Linked DNA regions of Rattus norvegicus. The protein of the gene in region 1 interacts with the protein of each later gene in a biochemical or structural test. Links are inferred from orthologs where the notes say so. Each region holds a gene or a part of one and is shown on either strand. Other genes may lie near its edges.

The links.
Region 2: the proteins of Vegfa (region 1) and Sparc form a complex in vitro, tested with the Homo sapiens proteins (2 studies listed by BioGRID, with this or other methods). The link is inferred for Rattus norvegicus from reciprocal best matches to the Homo sapiens genes VEGFA and SPARC.
Region 3: the proteins of Vegfa (region 1) and Nrp1 form a complex in vitro, tested with the Homo sapiens proteins (8 studies listed by BioGRID, with this or other methods). The link is inferred for Rattus norvegicus from reciprocal best matches to the Homo sapiens genes VEGFA and NRP1.

What each region holds. Positions count from the first base shown.
Region 1 is NC_086027.1:22,448,664-22,459,038, reverse strand, and holds the start of Vegfa (vascular endothelial growth factor A), read right to left. Parts: upstream 6,186-10,375; 5' UTR 5,709-6,185; coding exon 5,106-5,708; intron 2,216-5,105; coding exon 2,167-2,215; intron 1-2,166.
Region 2 is NC_086028.1:40,033,037-40,043,263, forward strand, and holds the start of Sparc (SPARC precursor), read right to left. Parts: upstream 5,781-10,227; 5' UTR 5,743-5,780; intron 1-5,742.
Region 3 is NC_086037.1:73,253,094-73,263,412, forward strand, and holds the start of Nrp1 (neuropilin-1 precursor), read left to right. Parts: upstream 1-3,463; 5' UTR 3,464-3,541; intron 3,542-4,770; exon of another isoform or gene 4,771-4,910; intron 4,911-5,136; exon of another isoform or gene 5,137-5,278; 5' UTR 5,279-5,740; coding exon 5,741-5,813; intron 5,814-9,418; coding exon 9,419-9,593; intron 9,594-10,319. UniProt on the Homo sapiens protein: Cell-surface receptor involved in the development of the cardiovascular system, in angiogenesis, in the formation of certain neuronal circuits and in organogenesis outside the nervous system. Mediates the chemorepulsant activity of semaphorins.

The DNA.
Region 1 (10,375 bases):
CAAGAGGGCAAACTGTTTGCATCATGGAAAGAACAGGATCTGCCTCTGTACCAGGCATTTCTAGAAGCCGACCTGGAGGAAGACAGGGGAGAGACCTTTTCCCAGGCAGAGTTATGAGGTACAAGAGATCAGGAAGAGGCACTTGAGGGCCAAGGGGCGGGCACTAGACTTCTCTGGGACACCAAATGGTGGCTCGGCCTGCCACTTCTGGTCATACCCCTAAGGCTACCCCACAGAAGCCAGTCCCTGAAGTGAGAGAAGGAACACAAGCTCACACAGGCCCAAGTTCTACTAGCAGTCAGTATGACCTTGGGCCTGTCCCTCCAGTCTCTGGGCCTTTCTCTGGAAGCAGGTTGGCCTGACCTCTAAGGACACTTAAGGGAGCAGGAAGGTGGTGGTGCTGACCCTTTGCTAGCCCTCAAAACAACTCTTCTTTTCTCATTCCGGGTGACAACGTTTGGAATGTCACCAAAGGCATTTTAAGTGCACGCTCCAGAGACTACACACCCTCACCCTCCCAAACCTGGGGCCACAGCCAAACCTCCCTTTACTCTTCAAAGTTTTTTTTATTTTTCCCAGAAAGTTAAAGAAGAGGGGACCCAGGTTTAGGGTAGGTTGGCAAGAAATGGGGGCACGGAAGAAAAGGTGGAACAATGCCACAGATGTCAAACAGGAAAAGGGGTGGCGGTAACCTAAGCTGCCACCCCTGGGCTTTGCTCAAGGGCTCTCTTTTCTATCTGGACAAGCAAAGAATTCTTGTCTGGCCCCAAAGAGTTAACATAAAACACAGCCAAAAAAGAGTTCATGAGATCAGATCTGAAAAATTCTTTTCAAGGAAAGTCTATATTGAAGATGACTAACCCAGAATTTTAAAAAAAAACAAAAAAACAAAAAACTAACCCTTCATCTTGGCTGAGCCAGAGGTGGCTCAGGCTACTTAGAGGCCCCACACAGGAGCAAGCAGCAGAGAGATGTGACCGAGGAATGAATGGAGGTGGGAGCTTGGTGTACAAAGACCTAAGATGCGAATCCTTTCCAAAAACTTCTTAGAGTCCCCGAGGTCCATAGGAGGTGGAGGAAGTGACTTGGCCAGTACCCATGGGAGCCTGGCCCCTGCCCCCAAGGCAGTGCTGCCGCTTCGGGCGTGTGCACACATACACTCCGGCATCGGGCTTTCGTGGTTTTCCTTATTTATGGCAGACAAGCTCTTCTCCATCAAACAAAGACCGTTTGTCTTGCCTCTCCCAGACCACAGAGCCCACTAGGAAGCAGAAGGGGGTGGGTAGCACTTTGGAAGTAGGGGCCTGTCAGTGGCCGGGGCCAGAGAGTGGCAGAAAGCCAGGCCTTGGGCCAGAGAAAGGGCTCCAAGAGGGGAGGAGGCAAAACCGGCTGGACATCACCAGCCTTCCTTGGCTGCTGGCTCCTGCAGCCACAGTGGATTTGGGTCAGGGAAATAAGCCTGGAGGAAGACCCCAGGGCCTTCCCTACTCTGAGGAAGGACACTGGGGGAGTGGCATCCGGCTGGAGCAGAGGCCACACTCAGTGCTGGGGAGAGCCAGGGCGTCCCCAGAGAGATGGGAGGATCCCGGTACTCCAAACCACACTGGAACAAAAGGCAGGCGGACTCAGGGTTGGGCAGGGGGGCGGGGCGCCTGAGAGCTATAGCCGGCCCTCTGCTGGTCCTGCAGGGAAGCTCACAGCACCCAAACGCAGTCTATGGAAGCTGTTACACTCAGAGAAATGCAAAGCCAGGACTCAGGAGTCCTATTAGGATACCCTTCTATCCTGTCCCCAGCCTCACACAGAAAGGGTCACAGCCCCCACGGGTAGCTGTGGGTATGTAGCAAGGGCACTGAACATGTCTCTTCCCCTGGGAGAAGCGGGTACAAGAGACACCTCCCAGAACATCTGGAAACCTCGAGCACTGCCTTCCTCTTCGCCTGTGCTCACCGCAAGCTTTCCAGATAAGATGTCACTGGAAAAGCTATTAGAAAAAGCAACAAGTCCTGTTTCTAGCAGAAAGCCCAACAGGAGACACCTTAAGAAACACAAGGGTTAAGCTCAAAAGTACCGGTGCAATCTCGACCCTCATATTCCTGCGCCCCACCCCCCATCTGAGAAAGAGGAATGGGACAACAGGGACCCATTACAAGCATGAGGACTCACCTTCATGGGCTTTCTGCTCCCCTTCTGTCGTGGGTGCAGCCTGGGACCACTGAGGACAAAACAAAGAGTAAAGAGCGTTGTCAGGGACAGGGCCAGCCACAGGAGTCCCAGGCCTGACACCACTGAATCCCTAGATTTCTTTTTGCCTCCTCTCCCAACCCCCAGCTCCCACCCTCCCCAAGTCTTCTGAGTCACACGGGGAACAGTAGGGGTCCTGTGGGCCCAGAGCATACCCACTACTCCGGATGGCTTCAATTCTGAGCCCGTGAAAGTTAAAGACTAACCAGGTGTGAGGGAGCTCACAATGTAGGAGGAAAATACCAGAATCCTGCTTGACCCAGGCCCCCAGCCCCGTCCTGTTCTTGTCCTGTCCCTTTTCCCATTGCCCTCGATTCCCTGGTCCCAAGCCATGGGTAAGCATTAAGGTCAAATAGGACAAATTTGGACTGGGGCAGGAAGGAAAGACTGGGGGCGAGAAAAACAACGTGGTGACCTTCTCCTGCTGACATGACAAATACCAGGGTTAGCTCGAGTCGAAGAGAGATGCAGAGGACAGAAGGGCACCAACTACCCTCCCCCATCTGAACTCTTCCCAGGCCTGGGGAATAGTCAGCATACCCACAGGTTGCTCAAGGGGTGAAAAGCTGGGAGGAAGCTCCTAAGGAAGGGAGAGTCCCATTCTCCTCCCACCCCAGGTCCCAGGTCTGCCCAGGTCCCGATTGCAGCTTCCAAAGCCTGGCTAGCCTCCCACTCCCACATCCCGGAGCCTCTCACCTGGGCAGGGCACTTTGCTTAAATGTACCCAGGGAAGCTTTCTCCTCAGTTCTGCCAGGGGGTCCTTTGCCCCACCCTGAGCCCTCCAACCTTCCTCATCCCCACCAGTTCCTCTCTCCCCTCCCCAGAACCTCTGAAGGTCACCAAGAAGGCCCTGTGGCCCTGACGTGGCAAGCAAGCCAAGGCTCCTGGCCTTCCTGAGGGTCTCCTGTTGCTACAACTCCCCATCCACCTGCTTCACACCAACCTGGACCTCCAACTGCCCCAGAGGGACAGACTCCCACCCTTGGTCTGTCTCTGTCTCTTTTTCCTAAGAGCAATCCATCCAGGGCCCTCAGCCTTGCCACCAGGGCCAAGGTCAGAGGTGGCCCTTCTCAAGACATAGCCTCCCACTGCAGCTGCCCCAGGTTGGTCCTGGATTCTGCACTTCATCAGGCCCTCAAATACCCCCTCAATAGCCTCATGACATTCTCCTTCCTCCTCTGTCTAGACCCCAGTGGAGAAAGGAAACAGAAACTTTGAACCCCTTCCCAGATGGGGAGGTTCTAGGCAGGGACTGGCCAGGTGTCCTTCTCTGGGGGCCTCTGAAGGTCACACTGTGGCCAAGCACTCCTGCCCTCCTCCCCACATGAAGGCCCAGAACCAAGGCCTTTGTGCCAGGGTCTGGGGACCTCTGGATGGTGGCAGGGACACCTGCCCTTCTCCTTCCTTCTGCCTCCTTTCCAAGAAGGCTCTATAGCTGAGAATTAGAGGAAACGAGCATCAAAGGACCCTTTAGTAGGCAAATTGGGTGGGTAAGTTCAGAGTTAAACCACCTGCTCTCTGGGCATCAGGCTTTGCCAGGACAAAGTGTGTGTGAGATACTGACAAGGGATCCTGTCAAAGGAGTAGGAAAGGGCTGGTTCCAGGCTGCCCCTGTCTTAGCAAATATCAAGTCATGTTTCCAAAACGGGGGAAATAGGGTGATGTCAGTCCACCCTTCGTTGACCGCCCCCCCCCCAAAAAAAAGGTGAAACACAGCTAACTGGAGCTGCTAGGAGGAGAGGGAAGCACACCTTCACCAACTCAAAACTTAGGTCAGCGTTTCCACAAAGAACCCGAGGGTGGGCCCCAACACCCCCACGTCTGACAGTCACCGTCCTTTTCCTGGGCCCTGGGGCCAGGAAGGGTCCGATGAGTCTTCGCAAGGAAAAGGAAAATATAAAAGGGTGGGAAGGGCTTTTCTGCACACCAGGCAGGAAATGGGGGAAAGGGGGAAGGGGCGTCGGGTAATTCTGCCTAGAGCAAGGCACGGGTAGAAGTTGGGAACGGAGGAAAGGGGTATGGGAGTTTCTCCCGGTCCCGGAGCTGGGGATACCTCCAGAGGTCACCTTCCTCGCGGAGGGCCGGTGGGGGAGGGGCGCCGCTTGTCGCCCGGGTCTCCGGGCTCCAGCAGCCGCGGCTCCGGGAACACGAGGCCGGCCAGGCCCGGGCTGATGTAATCGGCTCTGCGCCGCGCGCGCCCGGCCAGGCGGGGGAGGGCGGGCACCGCGCGGGACGCGAGCGGGGACGGGAGGGGGTGGCGCGGCGCAGGTGGCCCAACAAGCTAGAGGGGTGGGAGAGGGTCCCCGCAGTAATCCATCCTAAAACTTTCCCCAAACTCACTGCAAAGGCCGAAGAGACCGAATGGCAGTGACAGCAAAGCCCCCTCGGTCGCCGGCGCCCTGCCCCCTCCACGATCTCTGCCCTCCCCCGGTCCAAGGTCCGAGCACCCCCAGGCATGCCCGCTGGGCTCCGGACTCCCGCCCCCTCTGCCCGGACTTCCAGTTCTCCCGGGACCCGCGACCCAGAGCAAACTTCTGCCGCCAGCTCGGGCGCAAGCCCAGCCCCCTCAGCCTCCTCCTCTGGCTCCCGCCCTCCGCTGCTCGGCCCAGATCGTACGTGCGGTGACTCTGGTGGGTGGGCAGGGCCCGCGTGGGCGGCGAGACTATCCTGGCGCCCTCCCACCTAGCGCGCACCCCCTCCCCCTCCACGTACGACGACAGAGGGGGACGCCTCGCGCCCGGTGCCCAAGGACCCGCGTGGGGCACGAAGCCCCCCACGCGCGCGCTCGCACGCACGCACGTCCCCAAGCGGGAGAGGCGCTCGCCATGGCCCGGCGACACCAGGCGGGCACGACCGCTTACCTTGGCATGGTGGAGGTACAGCAGTAAAGCCAGGGTCCAGTGCACCCAAGAGAGCAGAAAGTTCATGGTTTCAGAGGCCCGTCCGGGGCCGGCGCGGCTCGCGCTCCCTCTCCGGCTCGGACTGCGAGGCAGCCCGCTCTCTTGCGCGCCTTGGCGGGCTCCTCTCCCTTCTGGAACCGAGGCCCGGGCCGGGGCCTGGGGCGCGCGCGCGGCTGGAGCACTGTCTGCGCACACCGCCGCCTCACCCGTCCATGAGCCCGGCTCCCGAGAGCCGAGCGCCCACTGCGGCCCCCTCTCCTCTTCCTTCTCTTTCTCCCCTCTCTTCTCGGGCCCCGGCTTCTCCAGGCCCGAGCTAGCACTTCTCCCAGCTCCGATCGGTTTGCCTCCTGCGGCGCAGACCACGGCTACTCCGGAGAGAGAAGAGCCCAGAAGTTGGACGAAAAGTTTCCGTGCAATCCCGCGAGCCCCGACCCCCTCCACCCCGCCTCCGGGCGCGGGCTTCGGCTCCTGCTCGCGGCTCGCCGCCGCGTCCACCGTCGGCTGCCCGCCGGCGAGGAGGTGGGCGCTGGGGCTGGGGGCGGTGTCTGTCTGTCTGTCCGTCAGCGCGACTGGTCCGATGAAAGATCCCAAGGGGGAGGGCTCACGCCGCGCTCTGGCGGTCACCCCCAAAAGCAGGTCAGTCACTTTGCCCCTGTCCCTCTCTCTGTTCGCTCGCCAGCGCGCTCTCTGACCGGTCTCTCTCTCTCTCTCTCTTCCTTGACTTCTCTCTGGAGCTCCTGCTACCTCTTTCCTCTGCTGATTTCCAAAATCCGAAGTAATTTGAGGGAGTGAAGGAGCAACCTCTCCAAACCGTTGGCACGATTTAAGAGGGGAATAGGAAGCAAAAATAAATTAAAGCGTAAAACAATACAGTTTAAGAAAAAAAAAAGAGGTTTGAATATCAAATCCCAGAGCACAGACTCCCTGGCTGATGAGTCCGTTGAATAGTCTGCCTTGTCGCTGCGTCTCGCGACAGAGCTCCGCTGCCGCCGCTCAGCTCGCCCCCAGCGCCGCGGCCTCGCTGCAGCTCGGCTGCCCCAAGCCTCTGCGCTTCTCACCGGTAACAGCGGTGGAAAAAAAAGGAAATCTGGCCCCGCCCCCAAAGGCCCCGCCCCAGGCCCGCCCCGGGGGCGAGGCCAGGCCGAACCAGGCACCGCCTTTCAGAAGCCCCTAGGCCACTACTGCGAAATAGAAATCTAAACCCCTTACCAGGGTCCATAGCCTGAGAATTATCTGTCCACCCCTTCAAACTTGGCTCGGGGACACACTGGGAATCCCAGGGTGTTGGGAATCAGGGGAGACAGGAGAGTGAGGGCAATTTCCTTTCCCAGGAATGTAGGAGAAAGTGGGGGGGGGGGGAGGCGGAGAGCTGGCAAGGACGTATGGGGAGACGGACACCCGGAGTGACCCCTGGTCTTCTCCCCTACCTCACAAACACACTATACCCAGACACACACGCACATGCACGCACGCACTCACATTGACACACGCGTCCTTCCTCACGCAGACTCGGCTCGCCCAAGTTCACGATCTCCCCGTGATGGCCGAGCGCCCCCTAGTGACTACATTATGCACACCCCAACTCTGGCTCAAATGGCACGGGTCTTGGACAGGGGGTGAGAGTTGACTGTTGAGCACCGCAGGCTTTGACTTCCCAAATAGTTGCGTGTTTCTAACACCCACCCCCCAACAGTTGCTTGTTTGACCTCGGAAACAGAAACTCTAGGATTATATATGGGGCGGGGGGCTACGTGGAAGGCAAGTATGCTTATCTGAGCTCTTGTCTGATCTTCATACATAAGGAACTAGGGCCCTGGGGTGAATGGGATTCCCTGGGAAGTTTCCAGAGAGGCTTCTCTGGAGAGGATATGGCATCAAATGTGTGACACTGAGAACGGGAAGCCGAGCAGTTAGTCAGTGGCCCGGAGGGAGACGACCTGTGGAAGCCCACGTATGCACTGTGGAGTCTGGCAGAGCCCTGAGGGAGAGACAGCTGGGCAGACAGAAGCCCTTGTTCCTCCTGATCACACCCCCCACACACAAACACCCAGATGTTGCCAGGGAACTAAGGCCAGTGTGCCAATGGGGGCAGAAGCAGGCCAGGCCTGCGTGGTGATTCAAACCTACCCTAGCATTCAGAAACGTAGTTAGGCCAGCTGCCCAGCGCTGCCACCAACTCCGGGTAGGATGGGAGTAGAGGTAAGGCTCCCTCAGTTCTAGCCTAGGCTCACAGTTCATCTTCTAAACAGAGTTCAGGGTTGTACTCTGCCCCCTCCCATTCTACCTAGGACCCTTGGCCATTTCTCTATGCTTGTACACTTAGCCTGTGTGGCTCTGTCCCCTCCCTTTCCACAAAGTCCCCTTCACCTCCTCGTGTCTTCCTTAAGAGCTCCCCAAAGCCCCCACCTCCAGCCCACCCTTGGATATAGGAACCAGCCTGGAAAAATTCCTGGTTGGGCTTTGGCCCAGCTGCTCCTAGGCTCCCCTGGGAACAAGAGGGGGCTCTGATACCTGTGGGAAGAGAGGGACCAACCAGTCCCAGCCCTCACCCAGGTCTGCTGAGCTTCTGAGAAAGGGAGCCAACAGTCTTCCTACTGGTCCCCCGAAAAGGTTACTCCACCATCTCCATCCCTCTGCACACAGTACTGAGGCTCCGTGGGATGCTGGTACCTGTTGGGAACCCCAATTTCAATGGAGCAATGTTATGAGGATCTTATGAGGAAAAAAGCCACCCCATCCCATCTGGCCTATCATAGCTGCCCTGAGTCACCTCCCGGATGGCTCTCTTTTAGCAGGGAGAGTAGTTAGTAAATGCTTACGGGCCCAGAGCCCTCCCATGGGTTTCCTCACCTGATCTATAATCTATGCAGCTAAGAGGCACTGGAAAGGAAAGCTACCAAATGCCTGTCCTTAACATCCCAAGAGCACCAGATGTAGCGCCGTGTCAGGGAGCCCCTGTCCCTCATCACGGTATAACAGAGGCTGTGGACACGTAAGGCTCCCAATGCTCTACTCTTCAGTCACTCTCATCTCTACCTTCTACAGCAGTGGTTCTCAGCCCCCCAACACTTTCACAGGGGTCGCATATCAAATACCCTGCATATCAGTTATTTACAGAAGAGGGACTCAGTAAAGGATCCCGAGGTTTGGAGGAAAACGAAGAAGCTTTGAGGAGGGGAAGGGTTAGTTAGCTACCTATAACTTCATGGCTTTAGCTTCCTCCTATCCCAAGACAGCCGTGATATCTATATGTATATGTGTAGTATATGTGTAGTATACATATAGTATATGTATAGTGTATTATACATGTAGCATATGTATGTATAAGGCGTGATACCACCATATAAGGTTCCCAGAGGAGTCCGAACAATGACACTTCAGATTTCCCTTTCCAAAGCACCAAAGCTATGCTAAGATTGGGGCTTGGCCTGAAGGGTTTTGAGAAACCCGTATCAGGGTAGGGACGGGCTGCCTATGTCCACCGTGCGTTTTAGAGACACAATCTGAAGCTGAGTCAGAGGAATGGTCACTTCTGGATTCCATTCAAGCCGCACATCGCCTCCAACACACATTTCACAACGATGAAGTCGTAAGCGTCACGCTTAGACTGTCACTAAGTGAAACCTCGGGGTATCTAGAAAGAAGGGGGAAAGAGACAAGTCAAGGGTCACGCTATTCCTGCTCTTCCTGGGGGGCTCACTTCCCAGCATGCACTTCATCCCAGAATAGATTCCATTCATCTTCTCTCCCCCAGGTCACTGCCGGACAGGGGACATCAGACTGTAATGGGCCTGGCAGAAAGGAAAGTATTCTAAAGAGATGCTTATGTTTCTCAATCTGTCGGTCTATTTAAACAGTGTACCCCCAAAGAGATGGGGATTTCACCTGTCGATCTCATGCTGGCTATGAGACTAACCAGGACGGATCTTGGCCTAGCATCGTGGGATAATGGGGAACCATCCACTAGGTGGTTAATCAGTGACATCTTACTTTTCAGAGACAGGGAGGAAATTGTCAGGACTGAAATGAAGTCAGGAATGCTCACCTGTAACCCTAACACTCAGGAGGTTCATGAAGCAAGGACAGCCTAGGCTTCTTTTTTTTTTTTTTTTTTTTTTTTTGTTCTTTTTTTTCGGAGCTGGGGACCGAACCCAGGGCCTTGCGCTTCCTAGGTAAGCGCTCTACCACTGAGCTAAATCCCCAGCCCCCAGCCTAGGCTTCTTGTTGAGACCCTTTCTCAAACTGGTGACATGGGGCAGCTCGTATCAGCCCTTCCAAAAGTAAAGGCCAAAAATTGATCCTTCCTCCTCCTCTTCCTCTTCATCTTCTTCATTTTCTTTTCTTTCTTTTCTTCCTTCCTTCCTTCCTTCCTTTCTTTCTTTCTTTCTTTTTTTTCCTTCTGAGACAGGGTTTCTGCCTTGAAGAATTTCCGGGGACAGACTAATAATATACCAAAGGCAAGATGAGGAAAGGTCTTTCAGCATTACCCAGCAAAGCAGATATGTTGGCTGGCCCAAAGTGCTTCCTGCATTTATTGGCACGGGGGTCATGGACTCCCAAGCAGTGGCTACATTCATCAGGCCACTCTGATTTGGGCAGGACCCTGGTTTTCCTCAGTGTGGAAGAGGCTTCCTGTCTACATGTAAGCAAAAGACTAAACTGATGAGGATATATAATTGCTAGGAGCAGGTGAAGCCATCCTGGAGGAGGTGACACGTTAGGTTGGGTTTTGATGGAAAAGCAGGAGTTTCAGAAATTTAGCCATTGGAGTTAACTGGGGATAAAGCAGAGACAAAGGATTTCTAGAGAGTTCTGTAAGGTCTGCTGGGTCCTCCTCTAGGTCTGAGGATAAGGACTTGGAGGATAGGCCCAGCCAAGGGATTGTATTAAGGAACATCCCAGACAGACCCCAGGGGACAATACTATTGCTCAGTGAGTTCCACACTGCTTTCTTGGCAGCCCCCCACCAGAGGAGGAAGCAACATGTCCCCAGAGAATTTAAAAAAAAAATCCAGACAGTAGAGATGGGTCCAGTCATATATTGAGCACTAGGGCTATCGTTTAGTCCAAGAGCCCAATCTGGGACAAGCCCAGGGCCACTTGGCTAGACCAGAGCACAGAGCAGGGTGGATGACACTTTCCCTAGTTCTCCCCCTGCCTCCAAGGGAGCTGAGAAGGCTGCATGCTGTGTGACCTTGGTCAGCACCAGTTCATCAGTCCTGCTCCTGGCC
Region 2 (10,227 bases), on another chromosome or scaffold:
AAGGGAGAGCTCGGTTGATAAAGTGCTTGCTAGGCAAGCATGAGGACATGAGTTCAAATCCCCAGTGCTCATATAAAACCAATCGTGGTGGCACAAGCTTGTAACTCCAGCACTGGAGAAAGGCAGAAACAGAGGGATCCTCTGATCCCGCTGAATCAGCAAGATACAGACCCATGAAAACAAAGTGGACATAGCCTGAGGAGCAACCGCTGAGGCTGACCTCTGGCTTACACACGCACAGAGAGAGAGAGAGAGAGAGAGAGAGAGAGAGAGAGAGAGAGAGAGAGAGCGCAGAATAACAGGAATTGGGAACACAGCATACTCCAACATCACAAGCCACCTTGCAAAAATTCTAGGTTCCCCCTAGAACAGCCAGACACCCTTGGGCAAGGAAGCCCCTCAGATCCCTTGACTGTTCTGAACTCCTGAGCTCGCTCAGCAGATCTTGGAGTATCCCATTTCCCTATTTGCTCCAGATTGCTTGTTTTTATTTCTGTTTCTTGTTGGAAGAGACGAAGCTACGGTAAGTGGTTAGTGTCACTGACGCTAAAACCTAGAATTGGTTCTGGGCAGCTCAGAGGCGGATCCAGGCTTTGTGGCTGGACACAGCCCTGCTGAAATTCCAGTGTCTCCCAAACTGCCACGTTTCACTTTGTCTGGACCAGGCTGGAAGAGTTCCTGCTGCCTCCGCACCCTCTAGACCATGTGACTGGGTCCTGCTGGCAGACCAGGCTGAGTTTTCAACCCTCTCTAGAACGAATAAAGGCAGAAGGAAGGGACTCAATGTACAGCCATCCCTATTGCATCAGGGGTGACCACTAATGGAAGATAAGAGACATGAAAGTATCCAAGATGTAACATCTGGAAAGGACTAAGGGATTCCAAAGGTGGCAGAAACATAGCATACCAACCTTCCCACACCCCTCCTGTGTATGTGGCAGACATTACTAATCAATTATATAATCTTTCCCCTCAAGGTCTGAAGTGACATCAGAATTTTGAACACCATTAGGACAGCCACTACTAGAGGCTTGCCATTGTGGGCCACATGATAGTTCTTTCCCACGCCTGTACCTTAGACAAAGAACTCACAGCTTAGAGAGGAAAATAGCTCACTCAAATTCCTCGGGCAAGGTGGTTTCTGAGCCAAACATTCAGAAATATCTAAACTTTTACTTTGATCCCCCCCCCCCACTGAGATCTGAATTCCTAATGTCACAAGCAGCACAGGATGATCCAGAGAGATCCTATAACCCGGGACTTTAAATGAAGTTCCTGGAAGGACCGAGCTGCTATCTCTGTTCATGGATTCCTACCAGATATCTATGACTAGGCAGGTGAAAGCGGAGCTGATTTGCTGCCCAACACACCCCTGGCCAAGGCGGAGGCTGTTTCTCTAAAAGCTTCAGATAAGCCACCATTTGCTGGCCCTGGGCCTGTGCAACCCAGGTGTCCAGGAGTCAGGAGCAAGGCTGGGAGGGATCAGGATCCACCCTACAATATAGGGGAAAGGTAGCTTCCTCCATCTCCAGAGAGGTCTAGAAATTGGTGCCAGCCTCCTCTTCTGTCGGTTTAAATCGGAGACTAGAGGAGGAGCCAGTGGAAAGCTACCGAGAAACTACTTATAAGCCACGTTTGTTGGGTCTTGGGCCTAATGAACCAAGGGACCCATGTATTATGAATGATTTAGGACCTACAGGAACAAGGTCAACTCCAACCTGACAAGGTTCCAAAGATCTGGAGGCTGGGTACAGACACCAGCCTGCTGTATAATCTCCAGTGAGCTACCTTCTCTTTCTGAATTTCAACTTTTGTATCTTGGAAATAAAGGCACCCGTGTGCCTGTGTTGGGGTGCTGTTGGGGGAGGCAGGCTTGTGTGTGTGTGTGTGTGTGTGTGTGTGTGTGAGAGAGAGAGAGAGAGAGAGAGAGAGAGAGAGAGAGGGAGGGGAGAGAAAGAGAGGAGAGAGAGAGGGTCAGAGGTGTCTTCATTGACCAATAGTCTATTCAATAGTTTATGTGTTTGCATCCTTGACGGCTCGTCTGTATAGATGACATATGACCTGACTTCGTATCTGTTAATAGGTGAAGATTGAGGTTTTCATACTCACAAGATGTATCTGGAGGAAGGGCATGGCGACTGAAGAAATGACTCAGCCATTAGGGGTGCTTACTGCCCTATCAAAGACCCCCACATTCAGCTTCAAGCACCCATGTCGGGCAGCTCACAGTCACCTGTATGTAACTCTAAATCAACAAACTTAGACGCCCCCTCCTGACCTCTGAAGGCACCCACATGCGTTGTGCTTACGTATATTCACGTAAATACAAACTTTTTGTTGTTTTCTTTTTTTGAAACAGGGTTTCTCTGGGTAACCCTGGCTATGCTGGAACTCACTCTATAGACCAGGCTGGTCTCAAACTCACAGAGATCTGCCTGCCTCTGCTGGGATTAAAAGTGGGTGCCACCACCACTCGGCTCAAACTTTTAAAAAACATATTGCTAAAATATTTTTTAAGATATACTTAAAGATTCTCCCTCTGTGTGGTGAAGAATGTGAGGGGGTGGCCACATCCTGCCTTTATTTTTAGCCACACTGGTGGTGAAATCAGGGTCTACATGTTTAAACTCTGTGCCCCATGTGTTCATGTTTGCCTGTTTATCTCCCCAGACTCATCCGCCAACCTAAAAGGCTTCGTGTCCTCTGCTATTTAAAGCTCATTATTTTTAACATGGAAAACTGCAGCTGGAAATAGCAAGCCCAGCTGTGCATCAGGCTGCAGAGCCCACAGCTGGATGAGGATCTGCCCAGAGTTAGAGCCTCCCCAGCCTTCTTCCTGGAACCTTCTTCCTGTTTCCTCTCCTAACTCAGGAAAGGAGGCTGCTGCTAAACATACAGGATGCTGCTCCTTCCAAGGAAACCAGGGTCTGGGAATGGGTTCAGGGAACCTCTAGCTCAGATCATCCCCACCTGACAGATTGGGAGACTGAGGCTAAGGCAGATAACATCTTTTCCAATGTCACCACTGAGCTGTAATTCATGCTTTTGACCAATACCCGCCACCCTTCCGTTCTTTTTTCCCATTTCTGTGTGGGGTGTGTGTGTGTGTGTGTGTGTGTGTGTGTGTGTGTGTGTGTAAGCCAGAAGTCAGTGTCTTCTTTGGTTGTTCTTTACCCTTTCTTTTTGTCTTTTTGTTGTTGTTGTTTGTTCGTTTGCTGGGTTTTGTTGTTGTTGTTTTGAGACAGGATTTTTCTATGAAACCCTCAGTAGCCTGGAACTCACTTACGTAGACCAGGCTGACCCTCTCCACCTCCCAGAGATCACCCTGCCTCTCCCTCCTAAGTGCTGAGATTAAAGGCGAGTGCCACTAAGCCTGTCTACCTTATATTCTGAGACAGGGTCTCTCACTAACCTGAAGCTGGGTCAGCTAGGCCGGCTGACCTGTGAGCTCTATAGACTGGCCTGTCTCTCTGCCTTCGTAGCCTTTTTAGATTGTAGATTACAGACAGGCATCCCCACACCCTGCTCCCTAGGTCAGGGGTAAGCTAAAGACTTAGGAGTCCTCAGGCTGATGTAGCAAGCCCTTCCCACTGAGTCCTGGTTCCAACCTTGATCACCAGTCTTTGTTTAGGGGAGGATGCATTGCTCTTGGGAAATTGACAGGAAGATCCTCGAGTTGAAATAAATGTAAACCATGTATGCTTAAAAATATTCCTGTCACCACTTTTTCTAAGAAGATGTTCTCTGGACCCCAAATGTTGGAGCTGCCAGAAAAGGGACTTTGAATAATCCCCTTTGTGTTAAAAATCAGTTGCTTTAGAAGGGAGTGAGGTTGCAAAGGGCTTCCCAGCTTACGCTTTAGCTGGTTTCATCCTGCACCTTCTCCAAGGGACTGCTGCTATTACTAGAAATAGGGAAGAAACCAGAGCTCAGGAAGACAGTTCAAGGTCAAATGACACCTTCTAAGCACAGATCCAAACCCTCTGTCTTGCGAAGGGCAGTTCTAGAGAGGCTTATCGCAATCTGGGGACCCAGGGACGTGGGAGGTGGAAACAGGGCAGGAGTTTGCTGTTGTCTTCGTAACTGGGGCGGGGGTGGGGTGGGGTGAGGGCAGCCGTGGCAGTGGCTGGGGGGACTGGACCCTAGAGGTCCCTGAGCGTTCCCAGAGTCCCCTCCCAGCCAGTAGGCACAGACCCTAAGGGGAAAAAAAGAGGTTGCCGTGGCAACTCGCATTCCTCTCGGAGTGAGTCACCAGGGAGAAGAGACTCTTGGTGGGTGGGGCTTGGAGAAAGTTTCAAAAGCTGACTCCTTCTCAGAGCCACCCCCACCCCCTCCCCCTCCGCCTGTGCGGCTCTGTCGATGTGGCAGCTGATGGCTGAGTTAGCGAGAGTTAACTCTTCCCTCAACCACTTCTTTCTGGTTCAATCCTTGGAAAATACAAATTTGTTTCCATACCCTTGCAACCATTCTCGGGGGTCGGGGGGAAGGGTCTGACCTCTGTTTGGGAATATCTTAAACCTAAAAGCTGTGGACACTCATTATCTCTTACACACACACACACACACACACACACACACACACACACACACACACACACACACAGACATGCACGCACACTTTCGTACACACTACTTCGAGAGACTCTTTGAAGCTTATGCACAGACCACTTTATAAGCACAATTAAGTGACCTTGCTTGGGAAGTCTTAGGGCAATTCAGGTATCCCCAAAACTATCCCTCTTCCTTAGGACAGGGGAGATGCCTATGTGAGATCGCCCACAAACTGCCGAAAGCTTGTTACCCCGTGTATGGTCTGCGCCTCACGCCACTCCCTGCACTCTGTTCTAGAAACTTAAAAGAGTGGCTGGTGGAGACATTTCCTCCCCTGCAGGTATGTTGTCTGTCTCTGAGGCAGATGCAGGATGCCTATTCCTTATTTTGGCCATCCTAGGTGTCATACACAGGAAGTTTACAGAACGACTTGGGGCAGACAAGCTTTCAACAGACTGATCTGAGTCTTGGGGTAGGTTCAGTAGTGGCGTGAAAGGTGTCCTGGAGCTAAATCACCCTGTCTCCCTCCTCCCTGTCATCTCTGGATTGTATCAAACTGTTAGTTTTCTCAGATGTCTAGATACAGTAAAAGCAATGTTAGTGAGGTCCTGTGATGACCATCTCTCAGAATTAGGGTGGGAACAATGGCAACCGCAGGCTGGGAGAGAGAATGGCATTTCAGGCTGACCGTCCCCACAGGGTGATGGGGTGGGGTGGACGGGAGATTCCCGGGACCTGAGCCCTCCCAGAGGAACTGATTAAAGGGAGTGCCTTGCCTTGGCTGTTTACAGATCTGTTTATCCTTCTTGCAAAGTCCCATTTGGACAACAGTGCTCTGACCCAGAACTGGATGTCTGTTCTCCTAGAATAGGGAGCCAGACCCAGCAGGCTGCCAGCCAGACTTTCTCTGGGTTGGCAGTTGTGATAGGCAAGTGAGGATCAGATTCTCAGAGAAGGAGGCAGCTGCCACCGAGGGTGACAGAGGACAGACCAGCAGCCTCTGCCACCAGAGAACAGAGAAAGCGGTCCTCGAAAACCGTGGATATTTTCTGTAGCGCTACAGAGATAACAAGTTCCCCTGTGCCTGAGCAACAGGCTTCTAGCTCACCTCCCCCTGAGGTTGGTTGTGGGGATGGGGCAGAGGGGCTGAGGAAGCTTACAGAAGGGCAGGGGCTAGCAGGGAGGTGCATACCTCGGCACAGGCAGGCAGGCAGTTGGGCAGGCAGCAGAAGAGTTCTGGCGGTCTGAAGGGCTGCAGGAATGTGGAGGGGTTTAGAGGCAAGCAGCAGGAAGCCACTTGGAGCTCTGGGCAGGGTCTGTCTCACCCTCCGCCTCCACTCAAAGGCCCTCCTCCTCTGTCTCCTCCTTCCCCTGGCCTGCCTCCCCCTTCTCCCCAGAACCAAAGCTGTCTTTTCTTCCTTGCTTGCCTTGTGGTAGGCTGTGTGCTAACCAGACACCCTGGCCCCACCTGCCTCATCTGTTCTGGGGCTCCTGCCTAAACAGACATGAGGGTCAGGGCTGGAACAGTTGCAGGAATCACCTAGAACAGGACAGGCCTTGTTCAGAGCGGAGGCTGAGGACTGAAGAGTCCTGGGCATTACCCGAGAGCCAGCCGCAGAGGCACAGCCAAGCCCCTTGTCCTACTTTAGACACAGCTAGTGAACTTGACTGAGCCCTCTCTCAGGCTTCATGACGTGGAGAAGGGCAGAGTGATTCTAGTGTACACTGGCATGGCAGTAGGGGGCTGTGACCAAAACAAGTACCCAATTTTCCCCGTGCCACCAAAACAAACTACCACTGGTGATACTGGTGGCATCGTCCTCATCGATAATAAGGCGAGGTCCTTTTGAACTCTAGGGGCACCAACCATAGATAAGGGAGGGATTAGAACTTAGCCGGGAGACCTGCATCGTCAGCACCTGACAAACTCAGAGAGTAAAAGACTGATAGTCAGGTCAGAAACAATAACCAGAGTTGGTGGGGAGGACATTGTTGGCACAGCAGGCCTTTGGTTTTGGACAAAGTCCCATGTAGTCCAGGCTGACCACTCACTATGTAGGTGAGGATGGCCTTGAATTTCTGATCTCCCTACCTCTGTTTCCTGGGTTCTAGGATTACATGTGTGCAGTACCTACCATGACTAGTTTATATAGTGCTGGGGATTGAACTTGAGAGTCAATGCTCGCTAAGCAAGCAGGCTACCCATGCTGCTGCATTCCCAGCCTGACTTACATACTAGTAAGAGACCATTCTAGATTTATTTATTTTATTTATATGAGTGTACTGTCTGACACACAAGAAGAGGACATTGGACCCCATTACAGATGGTTGTGAGCCACCATGTGGTTGCTGGGAATTGAACTCAGGACCTCTGGAAGAGCAGTCAGTGCTCTTAACCACTGAGCCATCTCTCCAGCCCCAAGAGACCATTTTAATAACAAGGGCACAGGCTCATACAGGGCAAACAGCTCGCCAATAACACCTGACCAAAAGTAGTCTGAGAACGCTGAGGCTACATTTCAGCCCCGCTCTTCTTTTGGGAACATGGACTGCCCCCACTCCGTGCAGCAACTCTTGACTGAACACTTTGTGCCTGCCTCCTTGGGGAGGTACCAGAATGGATGTGGCAGGAGCTTTGGGTGTGGCTCAAGGGATGTACCTCATGCACAGAACCACTTCCCCAGTGATGCAGACCCCAAGGCTTCTCCCAGAGGGTCAGAGCAGCAGAGCCTTCCTGAAAGTGGAGCTATCGAAGCAGCCATTGGGTTTGGATAATGTGGAATTGGAGAAGGCAGAGTGCAGTCTAGAGATAAACTTGTATACAGCAGGGTCCCTGCCTTTCCTGCCATCTCCTCATTTTCCCTCCTGACCCACTCTCTCCAGCCAAGGCAGCTTGCTCTCAGTCCATCAGGTACCCCATGGCCATCCATGTTCTTAGATCCTCACTTTTCCTCTGCCAGACACTTTCCCATATGATTTTCCTGAGCTCAGACCTTTCTCATCTTTCAGAACTCGATTCTAATGTCACCTCTTACATAGGCACTCATGGTCCACTCAACGCCTAAGTCTCCTTGCCTCTCTCACAGGAGGTGGATACCCTCAACGTCATTTCCCGCCCTCCCTCCCACACCTGCCACCATCTCGCACCATGCCTTCTCTTGACAGCAGCCATGGAAAATGGGGGCTTCATGATCTGAAGGTATTTAGTTAATTTTGTTTTGTTTTTAATCAGTGAGTGGCCTTCCACTATCCCACCTGAAGAAAACATGAGGGACTCTTATCTTAGGGTTCTAGCCTAGGACAGAACCCTTCAGAGCTCCTCAGTACCTTGGCATCTTTCTTTCTTTCTTTCTTTCTTTCTTTCTTTCTTTCTTTCTTTCTTTCTTTCTTCCTTCCTTCCTTCCTTCCTTCCTCTCTCTCTCTCTCTCTCTCTCTCTCTCTCTCTCTCTCTTTCTTTCTTTCTTTCTTTCTTTTATGAATACAAATGCTTTATTTAACAGTTGCAGGTTATTCCACGGGCTAAGTAGTGGAAATCCAGGACCCAGCAACAAGGTCAACGCAACCTCTGAACTTCTCTTTCTGATTCCAACAGGGTGAGCACATCACCCTCTCGAACAGGGCCTTTGCCGTTTCAGATGATAGAGTGGCTGGTGTCATCCATAAATTCCACTCGCATCTGCGTGCACTGTCCCTGAAAACTGGTCCTGCCCAGCACTTTGGTAACCCTAGCCAGCTTGATGGGCTGCACTCGACTCGTGTCCATGATGGCAGCGATCTGGCGGAGAGATGGCATTTTTCTACAGAGAAGAGTTATGGCTTCCTTCAGGTTCTCTCTCCAAAGGGCCTGTGAAGAATCCTAAGGAAACTTTCGGACCTATATAAGACCCCTGAGTCTTCTCCTTGATCCAACATTCAGGAGCTTCAGGCCACCAAATTTAGGGTTCCAATAGGTTCCCTAGATCTGCTCTGCTCATAGGACAGATGCCTATTTTCATAGGATTGATTGCTATAGCTCTGGGCACCAAGGAGACTAAAATTAACTGCAGCCTTGTGTCTCAGTTGGGTAACCTAAGCAAAAAGAACTATACTTAGTATAGACTGGATTATACCAATGTTAGACCAAAGATAGACCCAGTTAGCCTTGAGGATAAGAGTTGGAAACCTGTTTAGAGCCAGGGGTTGGGGCGTACGTAGTTTGTAGGAATGCTTCTCAAGGTCTCAGGGGAGGACAGAGAACTAAAATCTCATGGACCAGCCACATGGCTCAGCAGGATAAGGTGCTCATCACCAAGCATGAAAACCTGAGTCTATCCCAAAGCCCACACAGAGGAAGGAAAGAACCTACACCAGCAAGGTGTTCTCTAGCCCCCTCTCATCCACTGTGGTGTTCTCACCCCACACCCTGCCACAAACACATAAACAAATAAGAAAGAAAAAAAGAGAGTGTTCGAATTCCCCAGAGGGTTTGAATTCAGCATTAAAGCATGCCAAAAACTGCAGAAGTCCTACAGCAGGACTGGCCCTGATCAAGACAAGGGACAGAGTAGTAGGCTGGGTCTCCTGCCTCACCCAGGGAGTCACGGGGAGGGAAGGAAGCATGGGAAGCCTAGTTGGGCTCCCCGTCTGCCACTGAATCTCCAATAACATTAACACCTCAAAAACCCTTTAATCTACCAAGCAAATTTGTGCTCTTTCCTAGCCCTGTCTGAACTATCTATTTTTTCATTTGGGAACCGGAAAAGGCAGTTGAATTTCTCAAATACATGCTTCGGACCAAGCAATGAATCAAGTTGTTTTGCACAGATTTTCTGGTGACCTTTACTAAATGGGAACTCTGTGTGTGTGTGTGTGTGTGTGTGTGTGTGTGTGTGTGTGTGTGTGTTGTAGAGGCCAGAAAAAAGTGTTAGATTCACCTAGAGATAGAATTACCAGTGCTTGTAAGCTTCCCAACATGGGTGCTAGGAATCAAACTTGGGTCCTTTGCAAAATCAGCAAGCACTCTTAACTAAGGAGCCAATTCTCCAAACCCTTTAACCTGTTTTTCATCTTGCAAAATGACAAGCCATGGTCCTGAGGTCCTTGCCGTTGGACCACATCCCTCCCGCTCCCTCTGTCTTGCTGCAGTTACGTTCTTCTAAGGCCCCTGCATATGGCTTCCAGCTCCCCATGCCTATTTTAGGCAATGCTGAGGACTGAAACCAGGGCTTCCTGAAAGCTATGTGAGCCTCTTGCCTAGTGAGCTACATCCCTAACCTGCTTTCCTCTGCCGTCTACGTGCTCACTCCCTACCTCTACTTCTGTCTCAGGTTCTTTGGCTTTGATTTTCCTGCCTCCATCTTGGTTTTTTTTTTATTGTTTAGAGATTTATTTATTTTATATATATGAGTACACTGTAGCTGTCTTCAGACACACCAGAAGAGGGAATCAGATCCCATTACAGATGGTTATGAGCCACCATGTGGTTGCTGGGAATTGAACTCGGGACCTCTGGAAGAGCAGTCAGTGCTCTTAACCACTGAGCCATCTCTCCAGCCCTCACCTTAAAATTCTTAATCTATAAAGTTCAACCCAGCCCCATTGTCATTGAATGGCTAAGAAGTAGAGGCTTGTGAGGCCAACGGGACAGGACAATGTGGATGACAAAGCCGGGACCTTGATATCCTACCCCACACTGAGC
Region 3 (10,319 bases), on another chromosome or scaffold:
AAAGTCCAACTTTCTTCCAAGACAGCCTTCTTCAGTGTCCAAGCCTGTGTGGCCACTAAGACCCCTATCGTTATGGAGGATTGAGTCCTGCTGGGTCATTCTTGACAACACCTGCTCCTTTGTTGCCATAGCAACCTGCCTGTCCAGTTAGCTTCACTCTCAAACTGCATAAACTCCCTGCTTCCCCTTTCTTCCCACTGTGTGTTCCGAACAGTATGTCAAAACTCATCTTCTTCCCTGACTTTACGACCACCCACTCTTCATGCAACTGCCAGAGTGGTGGAATTTTTTTAAATTAAGTTATTCTGGGATAAATTAAACAATTATTAACTATGTTTTGAGGCTTTCCTTCTTTTTCTTTTAGACAGCATCTCATGTAGTCCAAGCTGACTTCAAACTCCCTTAACCAAGGATGACCTTGAACTCTGGATCTTCTAGCTTTTACGTCCAGAGTGCCAGGATTGCAGGTAGGCCTGGCTCTGCCTGGTTTTTGTGTGCTGCTGGAATTGAATCTAGCTTGCATGCTAGGAAAACATTCTATCAACTGAGATACATCAGCAGCCCTGTTTTGAGCCTTTGACTGTTTTAATAATGATTTTTGTCGATCTTTCAGCATTCCTTAAACTTTTTATTCTTTAGTTGCATGGAATTATGTGACTTTAAGTAACCGATCCTCTGCACCTTGGAAATTTTGAGTTCATTCTCTCTAGTGATACTTTTAATTTTGCTTGCTGAGTGTTTCTGTCTGTTGTTTTTATTTTCCTAATTTAGAGAGAATTCAGCCAGGTAGCGTAGTTCGAAATTTGTGATCCCAGTATGTTGGCAAATTACTCAGTGTCTCAATCTCAATCCCTGCCCCCAAGAAGTGGTTCATGGAAGGCAGATTAATTGATGGTTACTGTTTCAGTTTTCAAAATCTAACCCCAAAGGCTGTGACTCCACCAGCATGACTCAGAATTTAGCACTGTCCACCTATGTCAGAGAATATTCAGATCACAAAAAAAAAAACAAAAAAACTTTGCTTTGAAACCTTTTCCTGCAAGTTTTAGAAAACATCTATTTCTCTGTTACTTAGAGAAACAGAAACTAGGGCTAGAGAGTTAACTAACTAAGGTTAAGTGAACTTGCTGTTCTTCCAGAGGACCTAGGTTCAGCCCTGAGCATCCACATTGGACAGCTAACAACCATCTGTAATTCCAGCTCCAGGGCATCTGACATCTATGGTCTGTGACCACCTGCACTCACATATACATACCACATGCAGACACATACATACACATGATTAAAAGTAATAAAAACTAACATTAAAAAAGAAAACGAAACTAAAGATTATTTATTCTCTTCTGTCACTACAAATTCTATGCTATAGCTATGGCAGAAGCCCAAGAGACAACTGTTGCATGACTGCCGTTTCATAAACGTGTCATTGTAAGGGAATTGTCTCTTTTAAAAACTTTTAAATTGGGCTGGAGAGATGGCTCAGTGGTTAAGAGCACCGACTGCTCTTCCAGAGGTCCTGAGTTCAATTCCCAACAACCACGTGATGGCTTACAACCATCTGTAATGAGATCTGATGCCCTCTTCTGGTGTGTCTGAGGACAGCAACAATGTACTTACATATAAATAAATAAATCTTTAAAAAAAACTTAAATTATTTTAATTGTGTGTACATATGGCTGGGTATATGCATGGGAATGGAAGTGCCTGCAGGGTTTAGAAGAGGATATTGGATCCCTGGGAATTGTAGATATAGGTGGTCTTGAGTTACCTAGTATAGGCACTGGGAATTGATCTTGAAAGAGCAGAACCTTCCCTTCACCACAATGCCATTTCTTCTGACCCAAAGGGGTTTTTTTTTGTTTGTTTGTTTTGTTTTGTTTTTATGTTTTTTATTTTGAGAAGATAGTGCCTCAGGTAGCACAGACTGACCTCCAACTCACTCTAACCTCAGAATCCTGATCCTCTTGCCTCCTGTTCCAGAGTGCTGGGATCACGACTCCAGACCACTGCGTGTGGTTGTAAATTGTAGTTTCTTATTCTTTCCACAGTTCTCTCCTTCCATGTCAGATGTTGGTTAGCTCCCAAGAATTCTTTCGATTGTTTTTCTATAGCTGTAGATTGTGTTTTAAAAACAACGCAATGCGTCATCGTCATCTCGAATGCACTTGATTTGGTTTTGAGCTAACTGGGATCCCCGTGTTGTACCCATCCCCATTTGTGCCCTTCAGAAATAGGTGGCTCCAAAGGCCTTCTGGGAGCAATGACTCTCCTCTTATTTCTAACAAATTGATGTGGTTCGGTGAAAGGAGCAGGGTGTTTCCACCCAGCTAGTTCATACTGGCCATGCTCAAACAGGTTGCATCCTCAGCAGTCCCTGAGGTGGTACTGACCACAGACATCCTCTATCCAGCACGGTTAGGGCAGCAGATAGATAAATCACCTGAAGGTGGAAGCAGGCCCTGTCTCCTAGGCAGATCTGTGATATCAAGAGGAGGAATGTGTGCACGAGACCAAAATAAAATCAAACTAGGAATACTGCCAAATTCTTCCTCTGTCTCACACTTGCTCTCCTATAAAGCCAGTCTGTCTCCCTGGGTGGAGAGTTGCAGGTATCTTAAACGGCCTATCTCTTCTTGATGGAATCTTACGGCACAGGAAAAGGCTGTTAACCAGAATGGTTAGCAATATACCAATGGCATGAGCTGACAATTACTAATTAGGGCGGCTGGGTTCCATTTCGCAGCACCCACTGTGGAAAAAAAAGGAATCTAGGGAAGCCTCAGATAAGCCTAGTCCTGGAAAATCAGAGAGAGAGAGTTTTAAGTATGTCTCCCCTAAAGTACACAGAAGGCATGCCTTACCAGTTAGAGAAAAGCTGTCAAGAGAACTTAGGGACTGAGCCAGAAAAACAGGAGTCCTTCACTGGTACCCCAAGCTTCAAAGCCCTTTCTCCCCCTTGTCTCTGGGTTTGAGGAACTGGCTTTCACAGGGAGCACCAGCTGATCACTTAAGTGTCTCACCTGTACCCCTTAGCTCAATCCGACCCAGGGCAGATTGATTAAATAACAGCTTCACCTGGGCGAGCGAGCCGGGCATTGGGATTCCTCTTCCGAAAAAGACAAGGATCTGGATCTCCACAGTTTTGGCCTGATTTCCCTTTTATGTCGACTCGCCAAGTCCTCCGAGACACCGGTCTCTTGGACTCCAGGGCTAAGGTGGCTCCGGGTCACCCTGAGTCTGAGGCTTGCCCAGCACAGTTGGAATTGGCAAGGATGCGCCCGATGCCTGGCGTAGGGAGGTAGGGACACGCGCTCCCTGTGGCAGATTGCCAGCTCCCCTCCACCCCCAGCTTCCCCACCCCGCCACCACTCTTGTTCCTCCCACCTCAGCTTTGCCCTGGGCGCGGCTATCGCCTAGACCTTGCCTGCAGAGGGCCAACGGCCTCGCGACTGCCCCTTCCGCTCGACTCAGGCGTTTGACTCCCAGCCTTCTGGCACGCCCAACCCACCCGGTCTTCCATAAGGGTCAGAGAACCAAAGAGGTAGCTAGTGGCGACTAACGGAGGCGCTCCAGGGCTGGCTCTCTACACAAGGGGGTGGCTTTGCGGTGGGGCAGGGAGGGAGAGGCTGCGTTGGAGGCGGGCTCGGTAACCAGGGCCGAAAAGAAGGCTGGACTCTGGAGCCAGTGGGTCCTGCGCCGGAGCCCAGGCTGGAGATCCGCGCAATGCACAAGCTTCAGTTCAGCGCCCAGTCCAGACACCCAACGCAGATTCCTGGCCTGGGGCACCAGTGTCCCCGGGTGTCCTTTCTCCCTGACTGACCCTAATTTTTCAGCCAAAACCTTTGACCAGAGTCTCCTTGCCAGCAATCCTAAATCTTTGCCAGCCCTTGCACCAGGTAGGAGTTAGTCTCTGTGGTGGTAGTGTGTCTATAAATGCCACCTCCCAGAAGGCGTATGACCTTTTCACCTTATCCACCAGCTCTTTCCGAGGGCATAGAGTCTCTTATACTCGTACTTGATCAGAGGCCTCAACCAGTTTAAGTCCCTGGGTGTCCTTGCTATTCATAAGCCAAACACCACCTGCTGCAGTTCTCGGAATGCCCTGGAGGATGGAACCGGACGACGTGGGGGAGGGGAAGCACTGGGCAGACGCGGGGGACTGGGACGCACCTCTTCTGTGGGTGGCGGGTGAGGCTGGAGGACCAGTAGACACAATTGCCTGTAATCTAAACCTGGCACTACGAGACCCTTGCAAAGATCATCCTGTCACCCTCATGAGGGGTCCTTGCCAGTCTTGTCCTTCCTTCAGGGTGCACAGAAATGGGCCCCTCCACCCTTAGAACCTTGGACCCCTGATTCAGATTCTTGGAGTTCTACGTGGCTGCTCTGTGTCTGTTGGCGGCTGCCCCCTAGCTGAAAGGCGCGCCACCATCCATCCTCCTGGCTCATGTAACCCCAAAGGAGAGGGCACCAAATCTCGGGGAACAATGCAGCCTGCAGCGTCAGGGGTGGAGATGGGGGGTCGGGTACCCAGCCTCGCCTTTATGCACGGCGAGGTGGTCTTGTTCGGCTGCAGCCAGGCTCCGTGCTCCAAGAAGGTCTGCCTATGTTTTACGTGGCAGAGGCACGGTCGCAGTTCTCTAGTAGCGCGTCTCCCAGAACAGCCTTCTTCTTCTGGTCAACAGTCTTACTCGCAGCATTCTGGAGTGCCTGGCTGCTTCCCGCCCCAAACCTCAGGCTGGCACCCAGGAAGTGAAAGCAAGGACTGACGCGTGATCCACACCACCTGGGGCGCGGGTGACTAGGGATTTGGAGTTCCTTGAAGTAGCAGCTAACCCCGGGCTCTCAGAACTCCTGGGCTCCGGGATCCTCAGCCTAGCTCAGTCCTGGGGTGCAGAGATCTCGCCAAGGTAGACTAGCTGATCACTGGGGCTGGTACCACTAGCATTGCCCCTCCTGACACACACGTGTCCTTGCGCTATGGGCACAGACTACTGGCTCCCCAATGACCTTCTTCCCGCGGAGAGCACAGCAGGGTGCCCGGAGGTGGGGTGGAGGGGGGAGCCCAAAGGACCGAAGGAGAAAGCGTGCAGAGAGAAACTTGTGTCTCCGAATCTCCAGCCAGGCAATCACTGGCAGAGCTGTGCGGGGAGGGGGCGGGAGGAAGCGAGGGAAGGGATCTGGGAGGGAGGGGGAGGTCGGAGAGAGAGGCGGGTGCCAGTGGAGAAAGTCCTCGCTCTCCCGCTCATCTTTTCATTGCTCTCTCTCCTTCCCGCAGACAACCCGGACCTCCTCTGGGCGCCAGCTCCTCGGCTCCAACCCGTCCAGAATCAAGCGGGATTTTTTTTTTCTTTCCCTCTAGAAATTGGCTTTGGTGTGTCGCCCGCCCTCTCCCCTCCTCCTCGCAACTCCTCCCCTCTTTTTTTCCTCCTTCTTCTTCTTCCTGAGACATGGCCCGGGCAGTGGCTCCTGGAAGAGGAACAAGTGTGGGAAAAGGGAGAGGAAATCGGAGCTAAATGACAGGATGCAGGCGACTTGAGACACAAAAAGAGACGCGCTTCTCGCGAATTCAGGCATTGCCTCGCCGCTAGCCTTCCCCGCCAAGACCGGCTGAGGATTTTATGGTTCTTAAGCGGACTTAAGAGCGTTGTTTCGGATTGTTAAGATTCCCGTTTGCTGGGTTTTCCTCCCTCAATCGTGCTCTCCCGCGGCTGCCTGGGGACTGGCTCGGCGAAGGAGGATGGAGAGGGGGCTGCCGTTGCTGTGCGCCACGCTCGCCCTTGCCCTCGCCCTGGCGGGCGCTTTCCGCAGCGGTAAGTGACAGCCGGAGGCGGGAGCGACCGGAGTGCCCGGGGCTGCCGGGTTCCCTCGGGCGAGGGGGTTCCAGCCCCAGCCACGGGACGCGCGCACGACTGCCGGACGCAGGAAACTTGCCTGTGCAAGGAACAGAGAAGTCAGGGTGTCTGGGGCAGGAGGACCACAAGCCCTCCGCCCCCTGCTCCAGTTGGTTGCTGGCTTCTCTTGCCTCTGTTTCGAGGCAGAGCTGCCTACCTTCCCAGATCAGCACACCAATTATCTTAATAATGTTTCCTCCCAGAGGCAATTAAATGAGACTCCCTTTCAAAAATCTGATGGCTGCTGAGAGTTAATGAACACTTCATCGGGAGGACTTCCTGGTTCTCCTCGAAACATCCCTGCTCAGTTTCCTCTGGTGGGCCACACCAAGAGATAGCGGTCAGTCTTGGCGCTAGAACTCTCTCTGCCGCCTTTGTAAACCGTCTGTGATCAGTCTGAAGTATGAATGAAAGTCGCACTGTCAATAAAGGCTTTGGATCTATTCAGTGCGAGGCACCAGCGTATCTGAGAATCCGTAACCCCTGTTGCAGTCTCCAGTTGGCTTTTAAAACCACTCACTGTTAAGTAAATGAAAGGCAATCCTGGGTATAAACAGTACCCTGGAACCTAAAGAGTGTGTTTAAAATGGGATCTGGTACGAATGTGTTCCGCGTCTCCTGGAAAGGTGCTGAAGGCTAGGCAAGGGCTGATCGGAACAGTAGATCTTTAGCTTTATATATTAACTAATAGCTAAATGTTTACTTTGTCTGGCTTAGATTTCGATCAAAGTAATTAGGAAAAAAGTGCACCTACTACTTATTGTGGTATATTGTTTTAATAAGAGCCGAGCGGAGGGGCTCTACCAGGAAGAATTTAAATCACTCTTTTATGATAGAAGTTAATCTCCTTAATGTGTTTTCCCTGGTTTTTTTTTTTTTTTTTTTTTTTTGTGATTTCAACTATAGATCTCCCCCAACAGGTACCAAGCAGTGTTCTCAAAAGATATGCAAATATTTTTGTGAACACGGCTGGAATTCAATTTATTAATGAATTCGAGTTGGCGGCATCTTCCTATATACTCTGGAAGGGAAGCCAAATACTCAAAAAAATCATGAATGTGGAGTTCAATTTGTTAATGAACCTGAGTTGGTGGAGTGCTTCTGTAGTCTGGCAGGGGTTGAAATGTCTATTTCCTCTAAGCAAAAGAACTCAAATGCTTAGACCTCAAATGGTTAGCCTTCATAATGCCTAAGGACGGAGTGGTGGTCCTCAACTTTCCTAAGGCTGCAATCCTTTAATATAGTTCTTCATGTTGTGGTGACTCCCCAAACATAAAATTATTTTTGTTGCTACTTCATAACTGTAGTTTTGCTACTGTTATGAATTGTCATGTAAATGTTTTTGGAGAAAGAGTTCTCTCAAAGGGGTAGCAACTCACAGATTGAGAACAACACTGGGTTAGAGCCATGTTGGGGTACCCAGAAGATGGTCGTGATAGCCAAGGTGAAGAGTATTAAGACTTGTGTAGTTCTGACAGCACACACCACACACACACACACACACACACACACACACACACACACTTTTTAATTTTCTTAGCAGAAATGTGGGGAATGCTGGGAATCTGGACTCCACTCAACTGAAACCCTATTGCTATGCTTGAGGTGACCAGGGCCAACACATGCCTCAGTAAGCCTGTAGTCCTCTTAAAACCATATCCACCTCCTCCCAGTAAGTGTCTACTAAATTAATTCATTAACCTTATTTAGGACTAATGGTCCACAGTCATTAGGAATCGCTCTCTCCTAATCAAGTGTTAGAGAGACTGAACAGAATGTGGGAGTCCAGCAGTCCACATTATCTTATTACACTGTCACTTTCTCAGAAGTCACAGATTAAAGTGCTCTGGTGTGGTACCAACCCCACCTCACTGTCTTCTGAAGTGACTATCTGTCGACTGTTTTATTTCACTCTCCTAACAGATGCCATGGTGGCTACACAGAACTGGAGTGACTTAATGAGCTGGGGGGGGGGGGTGTCATTCTCCAAGATTTCTGTACAAAATAAAATAATGCCAGAGCCTCCGCAGAATCACACCACCGAGCTGGCTAACATCATTAGCTGCGATTCTGAACATTGGTTGCAGCATCAGTTCTTCCTGAAGACCTAAAGCTTTTAAAAAGCCAATGGGAAGAGAATGTGTAGGACCAACCCCCTCCAATCTAAGAAACAGCCAGAAACATCTAGCAATTGGAGAAAACAACATAATTTATATTGTCTTCTTTTTAATTTATGGGAAATGACTTCTGTAATGCATGTAGCTTTATGCATTTTTGATATGCACTTCATCTTTCATTTCCATTTGACCTGGTTTTCCTGTAATAAAATTCCGTAGATTTATAAATTCATGCTGAGAGCAAAGAATGCCATTCTCTTTCCACAGGGAATCTATTAGATGTAATATTAAAATCTATATATACCATTACTGGATGTTTGTGATTGATAGGCTTATATATTTCAGTGTTTCGTACCTGTACTTCTTACATAGTTTATGCACCAAATTTTTATTGCCTAAAATTAAGCATCAATAAATGGGGTGGCATTTGCAGGCTGTGGCTCTCCTGTGTGAGACCCATAGAGAGTGACAGTAGCGAGCTATGCTGAATTGTAAACCAGCCCAGAGTCTGGTTTATTTAGCTATTAGAGAATCACTTCCGCATTTGAGTTCTTGTCGTGGTGTGGTAGTGGTTTATTTTCCAGTAAAGCCTAAAAACTAGAGAGCCTCTTCTTCCCGGGATGTGAAAATGTAGCTCACCATCTGTGATACCTAGACCTCAGTGGCCGGGGCTTCCCCTAACATTTAGTAGTTAGAATTAATGCTGTGTGGCTCTTTATTTTTCTTTCTGCCCCATTGCTTTGATCTGGTCTCCAAGGCTGAGCAACTTGGATAAGTGAAGCCGAGTTCTTTCTGCATCACCAGCTGCACTTTGTTCTCTGTTGATCTGAGTCTCAAAAGCGGAGATAACTCAAAATCACTTAGATTTACAGGCAGATAAAACAACAACAAAAGGAGGTTAGGCTTCAGGCCAATCGAAGTCCTGGGAGACGGTCCCCACTGGTCAATGACACTGACCAGGCTTATCATCAAAAAGCCACTTGCAATGAGTGGCATCTCTTAGGCGCCTCCCACCTAGAGCTGTTCCCTAACATGATTACAGGTCTTGGAAGATAATTAAGTCTAGCAGGAGCTCCCAGGGGGCTGTGTTAACATCAATTGAGGGGATTTAATGTTTTTAATGCTGGAAGACCTCTTTCTTTGGAGGGGACTTTGGGTGGGAGGGAAACGCATCTCAGATCTCAGTATGCTTTCTGTGGAAGTCATGCCCCTGCAGATTAAAGAGGGATGCTTGGTGGTATGGAGTTCTTCGTGTCTAGGGTCACATGGAGGGTTTGCAGGGGACACTTCACTGTGGAGTTCCCTTAACTGACAGAATGTCTGCTAATTGTCAATGCACATGTAAAAGCTAGAAGACGCAACTGTTTGTAAGGGAAGAGATCTGCTAAAATGTCATTTTTGTTGCAGATAAATGTGGCGGGACTATAAAAATTGAAAACCCGGGGTACCTTACATCTCCCGGCTACCCTCATTCTTACCATCCAAGTGAGAAATGTGAATGGCTAATCCAAGCTCCGGAGCCCTACCAGAGAATCATGATCAACTTCAACCCACATTTCGATTTGGAGGACAGAGACTGCAAGTGAGTGAAGGGAGTTTGAACAGGGCGCCACAGCACCATCTAGTGGTCATGAGTATCCGTGCTATGAGTGTGTGAAAGCAAATGAGCGGTCCCCAGACTTAGATAAACTTAATTATTAGTGGTGTGGAAATGAAGTTACAAGTAACCAAAATGTCAGTCTGTATTTAAATGTTTGTCTTCTTTCTGTTGACATCATTTGGTTTTGAAAATCTTTTGTTAAGAAAGGTGTGGTGTGTGGTTCTTTCTGGAAAGGGTTTTGAGAAAAGGCTTGTGTTTTCTTAAGTACTATATGGGTCACCAGTATACATGATCTGCAGATGGTGGAGTTGGGTGTGTTTTTTTAAACAAATCTGTGGCTCATTTAATGATTTTAGAACTGTATTTCTCGTGGCTGGGGACTGTAGCTCTGTGGCAGGGGCTACCCTAGCACTCTGATCTGAAAGATTGTATTGAGTTTGACGTGAGAAAAAGCAAGTGGTCATATAGTATATAGGGTGAATTAGAGGGTTTATTATTATTGTTATTTTGTTTGTTTGTTTGATTTGTTTGATTATTTGTTTGTGACGGGGTCCTCCAAATGTAGCCCCAGATGTCCTGGATCTCACTTTGTAGTTTGGGCTGACTTTGAGCTTAAAGATCTACCTGTCTCTGCCTCCCAAGTACAGACATTTGCTACTGTGCTGAGCTTAAGCAAGAGTTTTAAATAATAGGTTAATTGTGGAAATG